Caenorhabditis elegans: one gene and its partner. The protein of the gene in region 1 interacts with the protein of each later gene in a pairwise test. Each region holds a gene or a part of one and is shown in the gene's direction. Other genes may lie near its edges.

The links.
Region 2: the proteins of jkk-1 (region 1) and brap-2 interact in a two-hybrid assay, tested with the Caenorhabditis elegans proteins (one large-scale study listed by BioGRID).

What each region holds. Positions count from the first base shown.
Region 1 is NC_003284.9:5,365,554-5,374,887, forward strand, and holds jkk-1 (Dual specificity mitogen-activated protein kinase kinase jkk-1), read left to right. Parts: upstream 1-2,914; 5' UTR 2,915-3,111; coding exon 3,112-3,145; intron 3,146-3,762; coding exon of another isoform or gene 3,763-3,782; intron 3,783-3,801; coding exon 3,802-3,909; intron 3,910-4,059; coding exon 4,060-4,140; intron 4,141-4,187; coding exon 4,188-4,298; intron 4,299-4,346; coding exon 4,347-4,459; intron 4,460-4,877; coding exon 4,878-4,994; intron 4,995-5,040; coding exon 5,041-5,196; intron 5,197-5,255; coding exon 5,256-5,420; intron 5,421-5,691; coding exon 5,692-5,853; intron 5,854-5,895; coding exon 5,896-5,988; intron 5,989-6,036; coding exon 6,037-6,096; intron 6,097-6,149; coding exon 6,150-6,257; 3' UTR 6,258-6,615; coding exon of another isoform or gene 6,616-6,729; 3' UTR 6,730-6,774; coding exon of another isoform or gene 6,775-6,873; 3' UTR 6,874-7,035; coding exon of another isoform or gene 7,036-7,072; 3' UTR 7,073-7,478; coding exon of another isoform or gene 7,479-7,508; intron 7,509-7,555; coding exon of another isoform or gene 7,556-8,183; 3' UTR 8,184-8,263; coding exon of another isoform or gene 8,264-8,481; intron 8,482-8,541; and 1 more. Other genes in the region: F35C8.5 (Cholesterol 25-hydroxylase-like protein), read left to right, coding at 262-357, 404-491, 545-822, 1,492-1,581, 1,628-1,732, 1,775-2,020; F35C8.8 (uncharacterized protein), read right to left, coding at 3,763-3,782, 6,616-6,729, 6,775-6,873, 7,036-7,072. UniProt on the Caenorhabditis elegans protein: Dual specificity protein kinase which acts as an essential component of the JNK signal transduction pathway. May phosphorylate jnk-1.
Region 2 is NC_003280.10:5,388,829-5,395,488, reverse strand, and holds brap-2 (BRCA1-associated protein homolog 2), read left to right. Parts: upstream 1-2,298; 5' UTR 2,299-2,302; coding exon 2,303-2,509; intron 2,510-2,558; coding exon 2,559-2,712; intron 2,713-2,759; coding exon 2,760-3,019; intron 3,020-3,066; coding exon 3,067-3,165; intron 3,166-3,227; coding exon 3,228-3,671; intron 3,672-4,348; coding exon 4,349-4,777; intron 4,778-4,827; coding exon 4,828-4,929; intron 4,930-4,974; coding exon 4,975-5,052; 3' UTR 5,053-5,248; downstream 5,249-6,660. Other genes in the region: pink-1 (Serine/threonine-protein kinase pink-1, mitochondrial), read left to right, coding at 1-39, 91-328, 373-530, 579-808, 856-1,254, 1,302-2,022; ndx-6 (Putative nudix hydrolase 6), read left to right, coding at 5,652-5,685, 5,734-5,944, 5,991-6,314, 6,359-6,572.

The sequences.
Region 1 (9,334 bases):
AATTGTATGTCTTATGTCCATGAATGGTAATTATAATTGTAGTCTAGTAGTTATTTTTGTTGAAATTTAAATACTTTGCTTTCAGTACTTTTCCATCATCATACGTCTCTCAATTGGCTTCTACTTGCTCTCTTATCATTAACCATTTTTATGATAACCAGACGCATAGTTTCATTTTCTCAGACCATATTTATTTTTCAATTTATTTGTTTCTTTTTGTATTCTGTTGAATTTTGAGCTACAATTGTGTGGTATTTTTAGATGTTAGACCTATACCCTGTTCAAAATTTAACAGTTGATCAGTTGGAATACGAGAAGAATACACGATTTCTTCAACCGGCATGGGATTGGATCAAAGTTAGTTTCACCTAACCTTTTTTTGTAAATCATGATTCGATTCCAGAATGGAAATGAACACATTTTAAGCTCGCCGCTTTTCCCGCCGTTCTATGCGCTCTCAATCGATTACACTTGGGTAGCCGTTTTCACATGTAAGCACGTACCACGGGTTGATAACATTGAATTAAACTACAAAATGTTTCAGTTATTGACGTGTTTCTGTGCAACGTTCCATTTTTCAAAGATGCAAAAATCCAAAAAGATCGAAAAGTGACCTGGGATTTGATAAAGAAGTCACTGAAGCTTCAAGGATGGAATCAGCTCCTGTGGATTTACCCGATGGCACTTGTCCAGTTAATTTGGGTACCTGATACAGAGCTTCCTATCCTGGCACCAACAGTTTTTGAAATGCTTTCACAGCTGGCTATATTTTTCCTGGCCTTTGATTTCACATATTTCTGGTTCCATTATATCAATCACAAGGTAATTGATAACAAACAACGGTTGCATGTGTGAAGTATGATTGGAGTAGTCATAAAACACGGTTTTTAATAACTTGTAAATCGAGTTACATTGAAACTAATTAGACCATGTTTCACAATATAATTCAAAACCTTCTCTGAATGTATATAATCGGGAACTCACCAGCTACAAATAATTTTTTGTTGTGCAAAGCTCGCCAATTTTCCACCAGGTTTACATTCGTTTAGGCAAAAGTTTCCAAAACGTTGCACATTCCGAGTACTAATTCATATTGCGGAACCTGTCATTTTGTCGAAACGTCCTGATAGGAACTTTTTGATTGTTGCAAACGTTTCAGTGTTTATTTTTACGATTCCTATTATTTGGTTATCCATGTATGCAAAGAGGTTTATTAAAATGTATATTTTGACGTCACATAATGCATTTTAGTTTATGCTATGACGTCATAATTTACATCAATGTTGATTTCTTCATTAGCAGCTTTTCTCTCACTTGAAATTAAGATTCGAAATAATTTTTTACCAACGTTAAGCACGTTTCAGTTTGAATTTCATAAAGCTATTACATATTTTTCAGCGATTCAAAAATTATATTATCAGTGGAATGAATCACTGATAGTCATAATTGTCCTATACACAAATCATGGTAATATCACTCAACATTTTGCAGGTAAAATGGCTCTACCGCTGGTGTCACTCTGTTCATCATATGTACTCATCCCCATTCGCAGCATCTGCACAACATCTTCACCCATTTGAGGTTTTTGAAAATTGAGATTTATAACTAAAATAGTAAGTTTTTTCAGCTGTTCTTTGTTGGAACATTCATCACCACTATCCCATGGATCTTCCCAACTCACTGCTTGACCTACTGGATTTGGTTCTTTATCGCCCAGAGCGTCTCTTATGAGGTATTAAAATTTGACCTTTAAAGTTGACAAAGTTGAATTCAGGTTCACATTGGATACGACTTCCCATTTGCTCTTCATCGCATTTTCTGGTTCTACTCGGGTGCTCCGGCTCATGACATGCACCATCTGAGACCACTGACATGTTTCCAACCGTGGTTCAACTATCTCGACAGACTCATGGGTTACCATATTACCTACGCCGATTTGAAAAAGATGACCGAGGCAAAATTCAAAAAGTTCGGGCTCTATTCAGCTGAAGACGAGAAAGGATTAATCAAAATTAACTAAGCCACGTACATGTATTACCCCGTAACGCAATAAACGAACTTTTTTTGCTGTTGAAATGTGCATGAGTGAGCAAGACTTTTTCGGAACTTTGTGTTTGCTCCCAGACAGACCGGAAAATGTGAAAGTAACTGAATCAGAAGAAATGTGGTATTGAAACGTGAGATCTTGCAAAAGGAACTAAGAACACGAGACTTGACCAAAAGTTCAAAAGGTTGCTTGAAATGTAAATAATTTTAAATCTGAAATATCCCCCACCAAAAGGGTTAACCTGTCCAAATTGTGGTAAATCTATTTTTTTTAATTGAATTTTGTTTTCATAGTCAAACAATCGTAATTCTGAAACGTGGCCAAAAATGTCTACAAGTTTTAAAACAAGCAACTGTGACTCAAACATTTGTTCGGAGTATTATTTTTAACCAGGTGAATCGTTTCTATTTGGAACCTCGAATCGTCTTCAACAGAACATGCTTCACCCAATTTTCTCGCTGATGAGATTTGTGCAGAGGCGCATGTCTGTGTGTCATCGTGTAACTTCTATTTGCCGGCACAAAGAAGATGAGCAACAAAAAGACCTCCTCCAAACTTGCCCCCATTCAAATCGCCCATTAGCGTTTAGCCTTTCTCTCTTATAGGACCACCCATTGAAGCTGCAAAGATTCACGCATCCCAAACGCGTCGAAATAGAGGATGATGGGGGGACCAATTGGAAATGAGACATGCGCGAGAAGAGAGAAAGAGCCGAAGAAAGGAGCAGTTCTTCCCGCATATTTTCACTAGTATGTGTGTGCATTTATAGCCTTCCCCCTTCTCCTTCTTCACGGCTCCTCCTCCACGATGTGGGTGATGAGAGCGAAGAGGGGCCAGACCGGGAGCCCCTGCGCTTCTTCGACTAGCATTGTGCATTCAGAATCGATAGCTGTGTGTGTCTTGCCATTTCGTCTACTACATTGGGCTAGTGGTGCTGCTGCTGCTGTCGCTGCCGCGAGGAACCTCACATACGTCTTCTTATTAAAATTTCGGAACGAGCGACGACGGCCAACGGGTCATTCTTTCATTCTTTTATTTTGTTGTCAACTCTACCTTGGTTTTAAATGGAGAATGTCTGTTTTCAGCAAAGATTACGAGGTAAACATATAATTTTTCATATATTTGTTTATTGTCGGCTGAGTACGTAGCAAAATATTCGTAGATTATGTATATTCCGTTTAGAATCTTTGATGAAAATTTAATGAACTGCAAAACAGGTCAACCAAGTTGCTGATTGCCAGAAAGTAGCCTTAGGTTCGGAAATCATCGGTTGTCGGCTGCCGAAAGTTTTATCGTTCGCCAACTTCGGCAACTTTCGATATTAATTTCAATTGTTTTGTAAATACGCATTCAAAGACCCTAAATATTGCGAATATCGTCACTGTAAATAAAACAATTATATTTTTTCCTCGAAAAACACTCTGAAATATGAGTTTAACAGAAATATATGTTTGAACAACGCCAAGGCCTCGGCAGCCGACGGTTGCCGGTTGCTGAAAATTTCAGCGATTGGCAAATTCGGTAACCGCTCATTGACTGATACCCAGATGATGCTGATGCAATTAATTTTCAACCTGTAACCTAAATTTTAGTGAAACAAGGTAGCCAACGAACTTATACCTCTTGATAAGAAAAGTACTTGGCTTCTCGGGCAATAGGTACCACAAAAACTACTAAAAATAACCAAAGTGTCAATCAGCGCCAAACACACAATCTCATTTCCTCCGTGTTGAGTCTGTAATAATTGATTTTAGATCTGGAGACGAGGGTGAGAAAATGGAAATTCTTGAAGTTGGGATTGACTGAGGTTCGGCTACGGCCGAGAGATCGCCGATCAACTTCGGTAGATCAAAAACATAAAGGTTTGTCTTGAAATATTGGTGTCTAGCCTTCAAATGGCATCATTATTCTTAAAATTCCATCTAATTATTCTTTGTGATGAGATCATCGGCTCAATTCCAAAAAACACGTATGTGTTGTCATTCTTAATTCCCTCAAATTTTGTTTTACAGAATGCTCTTCCACATCTTCAAGTCCTCAACACCAACGGCCGAATAACATTGGGTATTTAACAAGCCCCATGGAAAGAAAATGTGTGCCTGGAGAACGACCTTTAGTTATTACATACATACAATTTCAGTTACTCCGCTTTCCATGAAACCATCGCCATCCAGAAGAGATACTGAGAAAGATGCGTTGGAATACGAGTTTCTAGAAGGGTACAAGAAATCGGGAACATTAGAAATTGATGGTAAGACATACATCAAAGCTTTAATTTTTAAAATCTTTTTCCTATCAGGAGAAAAGCAAGTTGTCGACCCAAACGAGATTCACATCATCAGCCTGCTCGGAAGCGGCTCTTGTGGTGTAGTCGAATCTGCGACGGTTCGCTCAAAATTGATGGCTGTGAAGGTGAGCATTACCCCTCACACGGAGGCAGTGATGTATGGTTGAGATACACATCCGGACCACTTTGAATAGAATAAATCTTGCATGGCTCCAGTATGAACTCTTGAAAAAAGATTGACAGAATCGTTGCATACGCAATTCAAAAGAGAAGGGGTCCTTCACGGGTTATCATGCGGGGGCGAAAAATTGTAGTGGTGCTAAAGACCATTAGAAATTCCATTGTTTTCGTTTTTCTTGATTCAATTGTCAATGCAAAGCAAATGCGTTAGAGAGGAGGAGAGACCTCTAAAATTGGTGGAAAACAAATTTCAGTAAAAATTCTGAACCTCTTTCAATGTGAGAACAGTAGTTTGATAAATGCGACTCTAGAGAATACGTTGACACAGAATCATAACGGTTCCCTCAGCTTTGTCTTCTTCAGACTATGTACAAAAATGACAATAAGGAAAATTTGAAACGAATTCTTCGTGACGTCCGAATTATGTCAATGTGCAATTCTCCGTTCATTGTCACCAGTTACGGATATTTCATGTTTGATGTAAGTGTGACATTCTTATTAACATATCCAATTCCTCCATTTCCAGTCGTCTGTAAAAATTTGTATGCAAATCATGTCAGCGTGTTGTGAGAAGCTGCTGCGTCGCATTTATCATTCAAAATTGGATTTTTTCCCCGAGTTTGTGGCCGGTCACATCGTCTACTCGGCGATTAGTGCACTGGATTATCTCAAGGAAAAACATGTAAGAGATTAAAGAGAAACTGCTGTGCACAAACTAAACAACTAATTCCGGATTTTCAGTCGATTATACATCGCGATATAAAACCCTCGAATATCCTTTTTGATGACAGCGGCAATGTAAAGCTGTGTGATTTTGGGATAAGTGGATTTATGACTGATTCGATGGCTCATTCCAAAAGTGCAGGATGTCCGCCATATATGGCTCCTGAAAGATTAACTATCGAGGTATGAAATTGAATGTTGATCTGTGAACAAAAATGTGCCGGTGGCGGTGACGCCCTCCACGCGCCCGATTTTTCCCGCAACTTGCCCCGGTTCCCTGCTACTAGTTTCGGCTTGATCATGCTTGACATGTCAAAAAAAAAATTTTGAACTTTTTTTTTTGAAACATAATCTTGACCCGAAATGTGGGTCACGTCCCGATCGCAACAGTGAGCCGCGGGGCACTCCTGTTAATAGGTCTAAAAGTAAATAATGAAGTTTGAAAAAATTGCAGACGAATTCCAAATACGACGTTCGAAGCGATGTCTGGTCATTGGGAATCACTGTTTACCAACTTGTCACTGGACTCTACCCATTTCCACTAAATGACATGGAATTCACAACTCTCACCATTATTGCAAACCTGAATTTGCCATCACCAAGTCTGAGAGAAGAGGTTTCGGAATTTCCGTTACGTTTTCAATACGCTATGTTTCAGACAAAGCGAAGTTTTTCACCTCTATTCATTGAATTCTTGGACCTATGCTTGCGAAAGGATGTTCGAGAAAGACCTGAATATAGGCAATTAATGGTAAAATAATAGGTTGGAGAAATTTTTAAAACAAAGGTTTTTCTACAGAAGCATGATTTCTACCTTGATTACGACCCTGCCAGTGGAAGTGCTTACAAGTTCAAAGCTGTAAGTGTTTTTTTTTGCAAATTTTTCAGTACAAAAACTGACTGTAATTTCAGATCAATGGAAAATGCAATCAAGTTGCGGATTGGTTCGTCGACGTGATTCGACTTTCAAAAACCGAAGATGAATTGAAGTCGATCCCAAACACGCCTTGTGTCAACTAATTATTGAAGACTTTTAAGCAAATTATCACTTTCGTGTTCTCTCAGAAATTCTCATTCTTTTAAAATTGAAACGAGTCTGATATCATCACTGGTGCTCTTCTCTGCATAATATTTGTTTCTCGGTTGCTTCCAGTTCACTTTTTGAAGAAATTCTAGGTATGATTTAAAAAGAAATACTGGGTTTTTTAAACGAACAAACTAAAAATCTGTCCAAATGGACGAATATCGTAATAAAAGTTCTCAAAAAAATGTAAATTGTTTTAATGGCTGTTCTATTTTGCGAAGCATTGGTAGTTTAACGCATATCATTTTGCAAAATAAGGACCATTTAAAGTTTTCTAAGAAAGCAATAACCTACCGATTCTTGTCCACAAAATCCTTCGATCATCGGGGAAGCTCCTAGAATCTGGTTCAATTTTTGAGGAGGCTGCAAGCTTGTCAACTGGGCTTGCAACTGGGCTCCGGGATATTTCTGAAATTTGAAGTTTAAATTAAAATTTCATTTAGGACAACTTACTGATAATCCGTTTTTTTTTTAATTTTCTGTTCTTGTTTCTGTTCTGTTTCTGCTGCTCCTCACTTTCCGCTTTCCGACGACGTTCGTGGTGCAATTTCTCTAAAATTTTGATATATTTTTGCTTAAATTTTATCGATTTGTAAGTGACTTTCGAGTGTGGTACACTTTTTGCATCGCTAATCTGCCTTCGATACTTTGCTCACCTAATCTGAAAATTGGAAATTTAGAGCTTTTCAAAATAATTGTTATGAGATAACTTACGGAGTTGGCTGGAGGAAGAACTTGGTGATGAAGCCATACTGTGCGAAGTTTCTGAAAATCGAGAGTACGGTAAACTACGGTATAATTGGATTTTAAAAGAAAAAAAAAATCAAAAGTAAGTTTGCCACAAGAGCCGGATATGATAAAGTGGCACCAAGAGAAAGAGAGTGAGAGAGTGTGTAAAAGTAAGAGGGTGCTAGACGAGAAATACATAAACACAATAACACCTTCTATTTTGCCGCCACCGCCAAAAAAAGACGCTAACTGTACGCCTTCCGGTTGTCCGTGGGGCGGATTTGCAACAACATTTCTGAATAGTTTTTCTTGCTAGTTTTTTAAATTTTTTCTTACTTCTATTTTGATCAAATCTTGAAAATTTTCAATCTAGAAAGTTTTCTCACTTATTTTTCTTACAGTAATTATAACTTGCTATCAAGAGCACAATGCCTGCTGCTCCAAACTACAGTATTATGGTAACCAGCACCTACTTATCACAATTTCCAACTTTAAAACTTTCCAGACATTTACCCTTTGAAGGAAGCCACTCGAACTTGAAGGAATCCACTCAAAACTTTGATATCACCATTTTCGACCGCAAAAACTTTTTGCATTGAAGATGCAGTCGTAAGAACAACAGAATCCCAATTTCTGCTGAAGAAAAATGGAGAAAGAAACATCAATATAATGCAAATTACGAACAACGGAATCGCGACGAAAAGGCAGCGTTCGAAGGATTTCTTGTCGAAACAAGTGCGATCAAGGACAATTTGGAGCAATTGGTTCAAGAAGTTATGCCTGAAAATGTGGATCAGTTTGTAAAGAAATCGGTGACAGTTATGGAGACAATCCTGCAAAAAATCTCCAGACATAGAGGTGGATGTGAGATCTTAATTTGAGATCCACGTAAACTTCATGGACAAGTATCAAGAAGCCATGAACTACATATCTTGGCAGCACCAGCACGATTTTGTCATAGCCCAGGAGAAGCACAAAGACCTTCTACCTACCCAGGAAAGAACCTGGTCATCGTGGATTTGCATAGGGGAGAGAATTGCAAGGCAACAGCTGAAAATTGACTGCATCAAAAACTTGGAGAAAATTACAACGTTGATTGGGAAGAGGGACCTGCTTGAAGATTGCATGCCATCGTCAGTGGAAACATAGTCTTAGTCAAATTTCTGATTTTTTATTTTCAATCGCCCGAATCCTCCAATTTCTTGTTTTTCAGATCTGGATCAAATGCTCGAAATCTACACCATTTTCTTCAAGCTGATGTTGCAAAACTGCGGAGCCCGCCGACGCTGAGCTAGTCAACAAAATCGTCGAGCATTTTTCAAACAACTTTCCGCACCCAGAGAATCCTTCCGAACTTCCAACATTTGCGTCTACGTCTTGCTCGAGACTTGAAATCGCTCAACTTGCAGTAAAAGTTGTGAATAAAACGTGGTGAGAACGTGATGATAAATTAAAATCTAGAAAACTTTGAAAAATGCCAATTTTTTTCAGAACTTTTCTGGCTCACCACTCCACTTCCAAAATCAGCACATGCCATAGTTTTATAATTTATATATTTCTAGTCATTGTTTTAACTTGTTCAAATTTTATTTAAAATAAAGCTTCAGATAAATTGAAAATTGAATTTTTAAAAATTGAATTATTGCGGAACTGATTTCACATAAAAACTGAACTACATTTCCTTTTGAAATGTTAACTTCTGATTTTCCATTTTGGCAGAGATGAGTTCAGTACGCGTTTTCTGGAAGAGCTTCAGAGCATCTTAGAGTGCAGCTTATGAAAATACCTTGTAGTCTGGCAAATGAGGTTTGAAGGAATCACCTTTGGCATTCATTTCCATTCCTGCTCTGGAAACGGCTTCTTGTCAGCTCCGGAACTGATACAATCTCTCCGATGTCAGCTCTCCTGGAAGTGAGACAGAACGAGAAAAAATCGTTATTACTGTAGCGATGATATTCAAATTTTTATTTATTATAAACCACCTCAAAATGACGACAATTAGCAATTTTCGAACTATACTCAATCAATGAGCTTGTATCGAGAAACGGTAATCCCTTTTTAGAGAGATTAAAGAAAGAGCACAAGTATTCATCTATCTAGCGGCGAGGTACAAGCAATAATCCATGGGACACTTAAAAAAAAACGGAGGTCATCGCGATGCCCAAAAAAATTCAAACGCATACCCGTGGCACATACAAGATCTCTGCAAAAAAAGAGCCGTTTTTGGTGTTGTTTTTGGAACTCCTACATCGTCTATCAAAAAATTCGTTGTTTATCGATTACT
Region 2 (6,660 bases), on another chromosome or scaffold:
AAAAAGGCTCCATTTCCACGACAAAATGCTCTACGAATTGTAAGTTTATGAAAATTCAACAAAAAAAAATTAAAATTGAATTCCTTTCAGGCTCGCCTTGTAACTCGCCACGGTCGAGTTTTCCGGCCATTTTCCTCAGTAATAATCGAAAGACATCGATTTCAAAATCAAAATGATTGGCGTCGAAAGTTTCAACCGATTCGTAAAGAATTGCCAAGAAATGTGGATTTAGTCGAACGAATCAGGCAGATATTTGGCAATTCTCTACGATACAATGAGGATTTGAAAAGCACTGAATGGCCGAATAGAATTGATTCTTATGAGTTTGGTATGCTTTTTTCAGTGATATTTCTCCATTGTTTGAGTTTTCAGGGGAATTTCTCGGTCAAGGATGCAATGCAGCAGTTTACTCTGCGAGATTAGCCAATTCTGATGCAGAATCCTCAGGGAATACTCACTATGGTGCAGGGTTTAATGAAGTCACAAATATACTTGCAGAAATTCCGCCAGTTAGCAAAGTTGCACAAAAGGTAGTTGATAATCTTAATTCGATGATTAATATTGAAAAATCATTGCAGAAATTCCCGTTGGCAATCAAATTAATGTTTAATTTTGAACATGATCGCGATGGAGATGCTCATCTCTTGAAATCAATGGGAAATGAATTGGCTCCATATCCGAATGCTGCAAAGTTGCTCAATGGACAAATGGGAACATTTAGACCTCTTCCAGCAAAACATCCAAATGTTGTTCGAATTCAGACAGCTTTTATTGATTCGTTAAAAGTTTTGCCAGATGCGATTGAACGGTTAGCTTTGAAATTTATTGATAATGATTGAGAATAAGATTTTCCAGATATCCAGATGCCCTTCACACTGCACGTTGGTATGAGTCAATTGCCTCCGAACCGAAAACAATGTACGTAGTAATGAGACGATACCGACAAACACTTCATGAATATGTATGGACTCGTCATCGAAATTATTGGACAGGACGAGTGATAATTGCTCAACTATTAGAAGCATGTACATATCTTCATAAGCATAAAGTTGCTCAGCGAGACATGAAAAGTGATAATATTCTTCTGGAATATGATTTTGACGACGAGATTCCCCAATTAGTTGTCGCCGATTTTGGATGTGCACTTGCATGTGACAATTGGCAAGTAGACTATGAATCAGATGAAGTTAGTCTTGGAGGAAATGCCAAGACAAAAGCACCAGAAATTGCGACGGCTGTTCCTGGAAAGAATGTGTATGTTTTGAAGTTTAGAGTACTGTATATAATCAAAGTTTTTACAGAAAAGTAAACTTCGAAATGGCAGATACATGGGCAGCTGGAGGCCTTTCTTATGAAGTTCTAACACGATCAAATCCATTCTACAAACTTCTTGATACTGCAACATACCAGGAATCAGAACTACCAGCACTCCCATCTCGTGTCAATTTTGTGGCACGAGATGTCATTTTTGACCTACTCAAGCGAGATCCTAATGAAAGAGTCAAGCCGAATATTGCTGCAAATGCGTTGAATTTGTCATTGTTCAGAATGGGAGAAGATGTGAAGCAGATGATGGAAAAATGTGGAATATCTCAAATGACTACTCTATTGGCTGGAAGTTCTAAAGTTTTGAGTCAAAAAATCAATAGTCGTCTGGACAAAGTGATGAATCTGATTACTGCTGAAACTATCATGGCCAACCTAGCTCCACATTTGATTAGTCGAGCAGAACGACAACTTCGAGCAACATTTCTTTCAAGAATGAATCGAGAAGATATTTGGAGAAGTCTTCAATATTTCTTCCCAGCTGGTGTTCAACTTGACACACCTGCCACATCATCAGACTGTTTGGAGACTATTTCCAGTTTGATGTCGAGTTTTTCAAATGATTCAGAAAATTACGAGAAGCAACAGAAACCGGCTAAAAATGGATACAACAATGTTCCACTTCTTCTCAGAAATGTTATCCGTACAGATGCGGATGGAATCAATGGAATTGTACATAGAGTTCGATCTAAATAGATTTGTTTTAACGATTACTGTAGTTTGAAACCTCTAGATTACATATGTAATAACCTTTTTTTTTTACTTGTTGGTATTTTTCAAATTGTACAATCACTTTTCATGCCAGTCTATTGCGTTCTTTTGTCTAATTACGGTTTATCATTCCCTCATTTATGGAAAATATCATACCTTATTACTTTTTATTGTTCAAATACTGGTGGTTTTTAACCATTTTATACTACTTCATTACATCCTATTATTTCAGATCTCAGATCCTCTAACTGTAACTTTTAGGTGTATGAGCAGTCTTTACGTGCCATTAGTTTTACGGCTCGAAGTGAGAGACCGGACAAAAATCGTGCAATCTTTTATCGACGACTCGAAAGCAGGAAGTGAATCCCCACTGGCAGGTGAACGGACTCGTCAGAGACTAGTCAAAAAAGGAAATACTCCTCCAAAAAAGGAACTGAAAGGCAGAGAAGAAGATCCGCCAATTGGAGTTATGGTATATAGATCAAATTTTATTGAGACTAAAAGCTTAATCTGATTTTCAGTCATCCGAGCCATCACACAACTACCACAAAGGACGACGGACCTATTCTGAAGTGGTCATCGAATCTTTAGATGGAGAAAAACTTGTTGACTCGAGTTCTTCGGTTGCCGGAACATCGGAAAAATCTGGTGGAAGATCTGTTTCAGAAGGACCACGTGAGTTTGAAACATGTGAGATGGAAAATGAAATCTAAAAATTTCAGCTGACCAAGTTGCCTATTATTCTGGAAATCCTCTCACGGAAAAGACCGAAGGAATTATGCATTTTTACAAGTACAATGATGAGAAGTTGACAAAAGTTGCACAGTGCCGAATGTTGTGTATGTATGCTGTACCAGCACAAGTTGAAGTTCGTGAGATTATATCATTCATGTGTATCTCACTTCCGATGATTGTTAGTATTAAAGTTGTTCGAGATCCAGCGCCAAATCAGTATATGTTGATTATCAAGTTCAAGGAACATGTAGGTTCAAGTTATACTAACGATTAATTGGCAAATATTTATTTCAGAATGATGCTGTAACATTCTACGAGGAATTCAACAATTGCCCGTTTAATGATCTCGAATCGTATTGTTGCACGCTTTTCTTTGTGGATAGAATTGAATGTGTAAGTTATTATTATTTTATTTCAATAATTCCAGATATTTCGAAACAATTTATAAATTTCAGACAACGTCGAATGATCTCTTCTCCTCCGATGATACATCTCTTACGGAGCTTCCAACTTGTGCAGTTTGTCTGGAACGAATGGATGATAGTGTTCTTGCAATTCTATGTAATCATTCATTTCATGCTCGTTGCCTGGAACAATGGGCAGACAATACTTGTCCAGTCTGTCGATATGTTCAATCTCCAGAAGTTGTCGCAGAGCAACGTTGTAATGATTGTGGAATGAGCAACGATCTATGGATTTGTCTAATTTGTGGAAATATAGGTTGTGGAAGATACGCAGAACAACATGCACAACGACATTGGGAGCTCACTTCACATACTTATAGTTTGAAAGTTGGAGGAGAACGAGTCTGGGATTATGCTGGAGACAATTACGTGCATAGATTGATTGAAAATGGAGCTGATGGGAAACTTGTCGAGTATCAGAGAGAATCGAATGCGGTATGTTCATACTGGACCAAAAAAAAATTGTTGATTTAAAAACAATAATTTTTTGTTAAAAAACTGGTGGAAACAAAAAAAAAGAATGTTTTGAGGCTTCAAAGTGCCGAAAATCAACCTTTTCGTATAACTAATTTGAATTTCGCGCACTAATTAGTTTTGAAAATTCTCGGCCGTGTACTCCTCTCGGGCAATGAATCAATTAATTTTTTTGGATGCAATTTTTCGGGTTTTCTCATTGAATTCTATTGGTTTTTGTTTGAAAACAAATATATATATATATATATATGCGTCTGTAAATGCGTTTCAAATTAATTATCACACAAATACTTTTGTTCTGCCTAGGAATAAGTGCTAAAATCCTGTAATATATTCATTTTCCCCTTTATCGTTGAATAATAAGTATGATCATGTTCTAAAAGTGTTTGAAATCCAAAGTGTTTGATTTTTTACTTTATTTTTGCTATCATAAAGCAAAATTTTTTTTTTTTCGTGAAAAAATACCTTTGAAAAACAGAAAAAAAAGCAAAAAAAAAGTCCAGCACTGTTTTGTGGCCTTTTCATTCTATACAGAAAATTTATAAATTCATTTAAAATTTTGTTTTCAAGTATTCTGACTAAATAGACCAGAATGTTTAGTCTTCACTCAAATTCCCTAAAAATGTTGAAAATTGCAGAGCTTTGATGACAAAAACCAAAAGGGTGGAGACAAGCTTGAGGGAATCAAACTCGAATACACTCTACTCCTGACCAGTCAACTTGAGGATCAACGGAAATATTTTGAAGGTCTACGTCACGATATGGAGCAAACGATGTCAAAAATGGAGAAAACTGCTTATGCTCAAGTAGAGAATCTCGAGCATCAACTGACGGAACGATCAACTGAATTGAAATCATTAAAAGGAGATTTAGATGATACTGTGACGGCGAGAAAAGTGGCAGAGAAACGAGCAACGCAGACAAATGAAAAAGTGAATAAGCTTGCAAATGAGTTGAAAGATGAACGTGAAATAAATCAAATGTTGAGAAAAGATCAGCAAGTGTGGAAAGGTCAAGTGGAAAAGCTTATTGAAAGTCAGAAAACTGCTCGAACCGAGTATGAAAAGGTATTCGTCTAAATAGATTCCCTTGATCTCTTGAAAGCTTTTCTTTTCAGAAAATCGAAGATCTTCAGTCACAAGTCAATGATCTTTTGATGCATTTTGAAACTCAAAATAAGCTGAAAGAGCAGTTGGATGCTGGAAAAATAACTCAAGAGGTTGGTTAACCAATGCTCGCCACAATAAAAATGTTTAATTTACAGGAAATAACTGAAAGTCAAGTTGAACTCGATTCGTCGTCCTCCTCGTCGAGAAAATTGAACAGAAAGAAGAAAAAGTAGTTGGCATCTCAGGAGATCCATGTCCTATTTAATTTTTGCATATTGAACATTTCTTTAATAGTCTTTTCATATATGGTTAGTCTCACTTGAATATTTATTCGCTTTCTTTCGCGTATCTCATCGAATTTTGTGCGGTATATATGTATGCAGCCGGTAGTTTATTTAATGCATTCGCTTATGAATAAAATGATATCGTTCGAGTGTCTTTTGGTTTCATATTATGTACCATGTTTTCAATCGTTATTAAACGACGAGTCAAAAACTATTTTTCGAATTCCCTCCTCTTTCCTTGCTGACACATTTTCGGTGCTGACGCAACTCTTGTGTTCACTAAGAACGCACACTTCGTTTTAAACGTCTCCGCTGGCCATCATTCTTGTTTCCTTCGATTTTTCTCGATACTTATCTTTTACAAATTATTTTCTCTTTTTTTCAAGATTTCCATCAACTTTTAATATCACTGCTCTCATAATTTCTCGAAACTCTTCGTATTTCTCTAATTCAAAAGTTTTCTGCCGCATTTTTACACTCACTAACCAAGATTATCGATTTTTGGGCAATTTATGACAATTTGGAATCATCTTTTGTGTCGTCCGATAATGAGTTTCGTTCATCAAAAATGCAGAAATATCGGTATAAACAATGTATTAATCTAACATTAAATACAAATTTAACCTCTAGATACGGTTTACCTTGGTAGTAACATTCACCGACTAAATGTGCCTGATAATCTTGTCAAATGGAGCCAAGAATGGTCAGGATACAATCCTCCGGCTCACACCGATCCAAAAGTTGATGGAGCTGTTTGGGCAGACCCAGAAATCGATGAGAAAACGTTCCAACCGTCTTGGAATGCGATCGATGGGAAAATCAATAGAGTGTCATATGTTTGGTGCGTTTATGAGTGTATATACTCAATCAATCAAGAAACCTTCCAGTCAGTACTCATTTGATCCTGTCACCCTTCGCCCACTAAATCCTATTGGACGTACGGGACTTTCTGGTCGTGGTTTGCTTGGTCGTTGGGGTCCAAACCACGCAGCAGATCCGATCGTTTCTAGAACAAACGACAATGGTGATTTGGAGTTTGTTGCAGTTCAACGTCATGACAATGGCGAGTGGGCAATTCCTGGAGGAATGGTGGATGCTGGAGAGCATGTTTCACAAACTCTACGGCGCGAATTCGCAGAAGAAGCAATGCATGGAATTGTCGATTCTGAAAATCTTGATGAATTGTGGAATAATGGTAAAGAGTTATACAGGTGCATTCACAGCTCTTTTATCCCACTCAATGTTTCATTTACAGAGGTTACGTTGATGACCCACGTAACACTGATAACGCATGGATGGAGACTGTTGTTTTCAATTTTCATGATTCAAAAGGCCTTCTGAAAAATGTGGCTCTTCAAGCAGGAGATGATGCTAAAGCTTTACGCTGGATTGCAGTTAATTCAAATGAGCCACTTTACGCTTCTCATTCTCATTTTATTGATCTTCTAAAAGAATCTCATTCTCATTAACTACCACATGTCTCTCTTTTCTCATGTTCTCCTCTTATTTTCGCGTTTCTGTTAGCTATATTCAATTCATAAATGATTTTCATTTCAG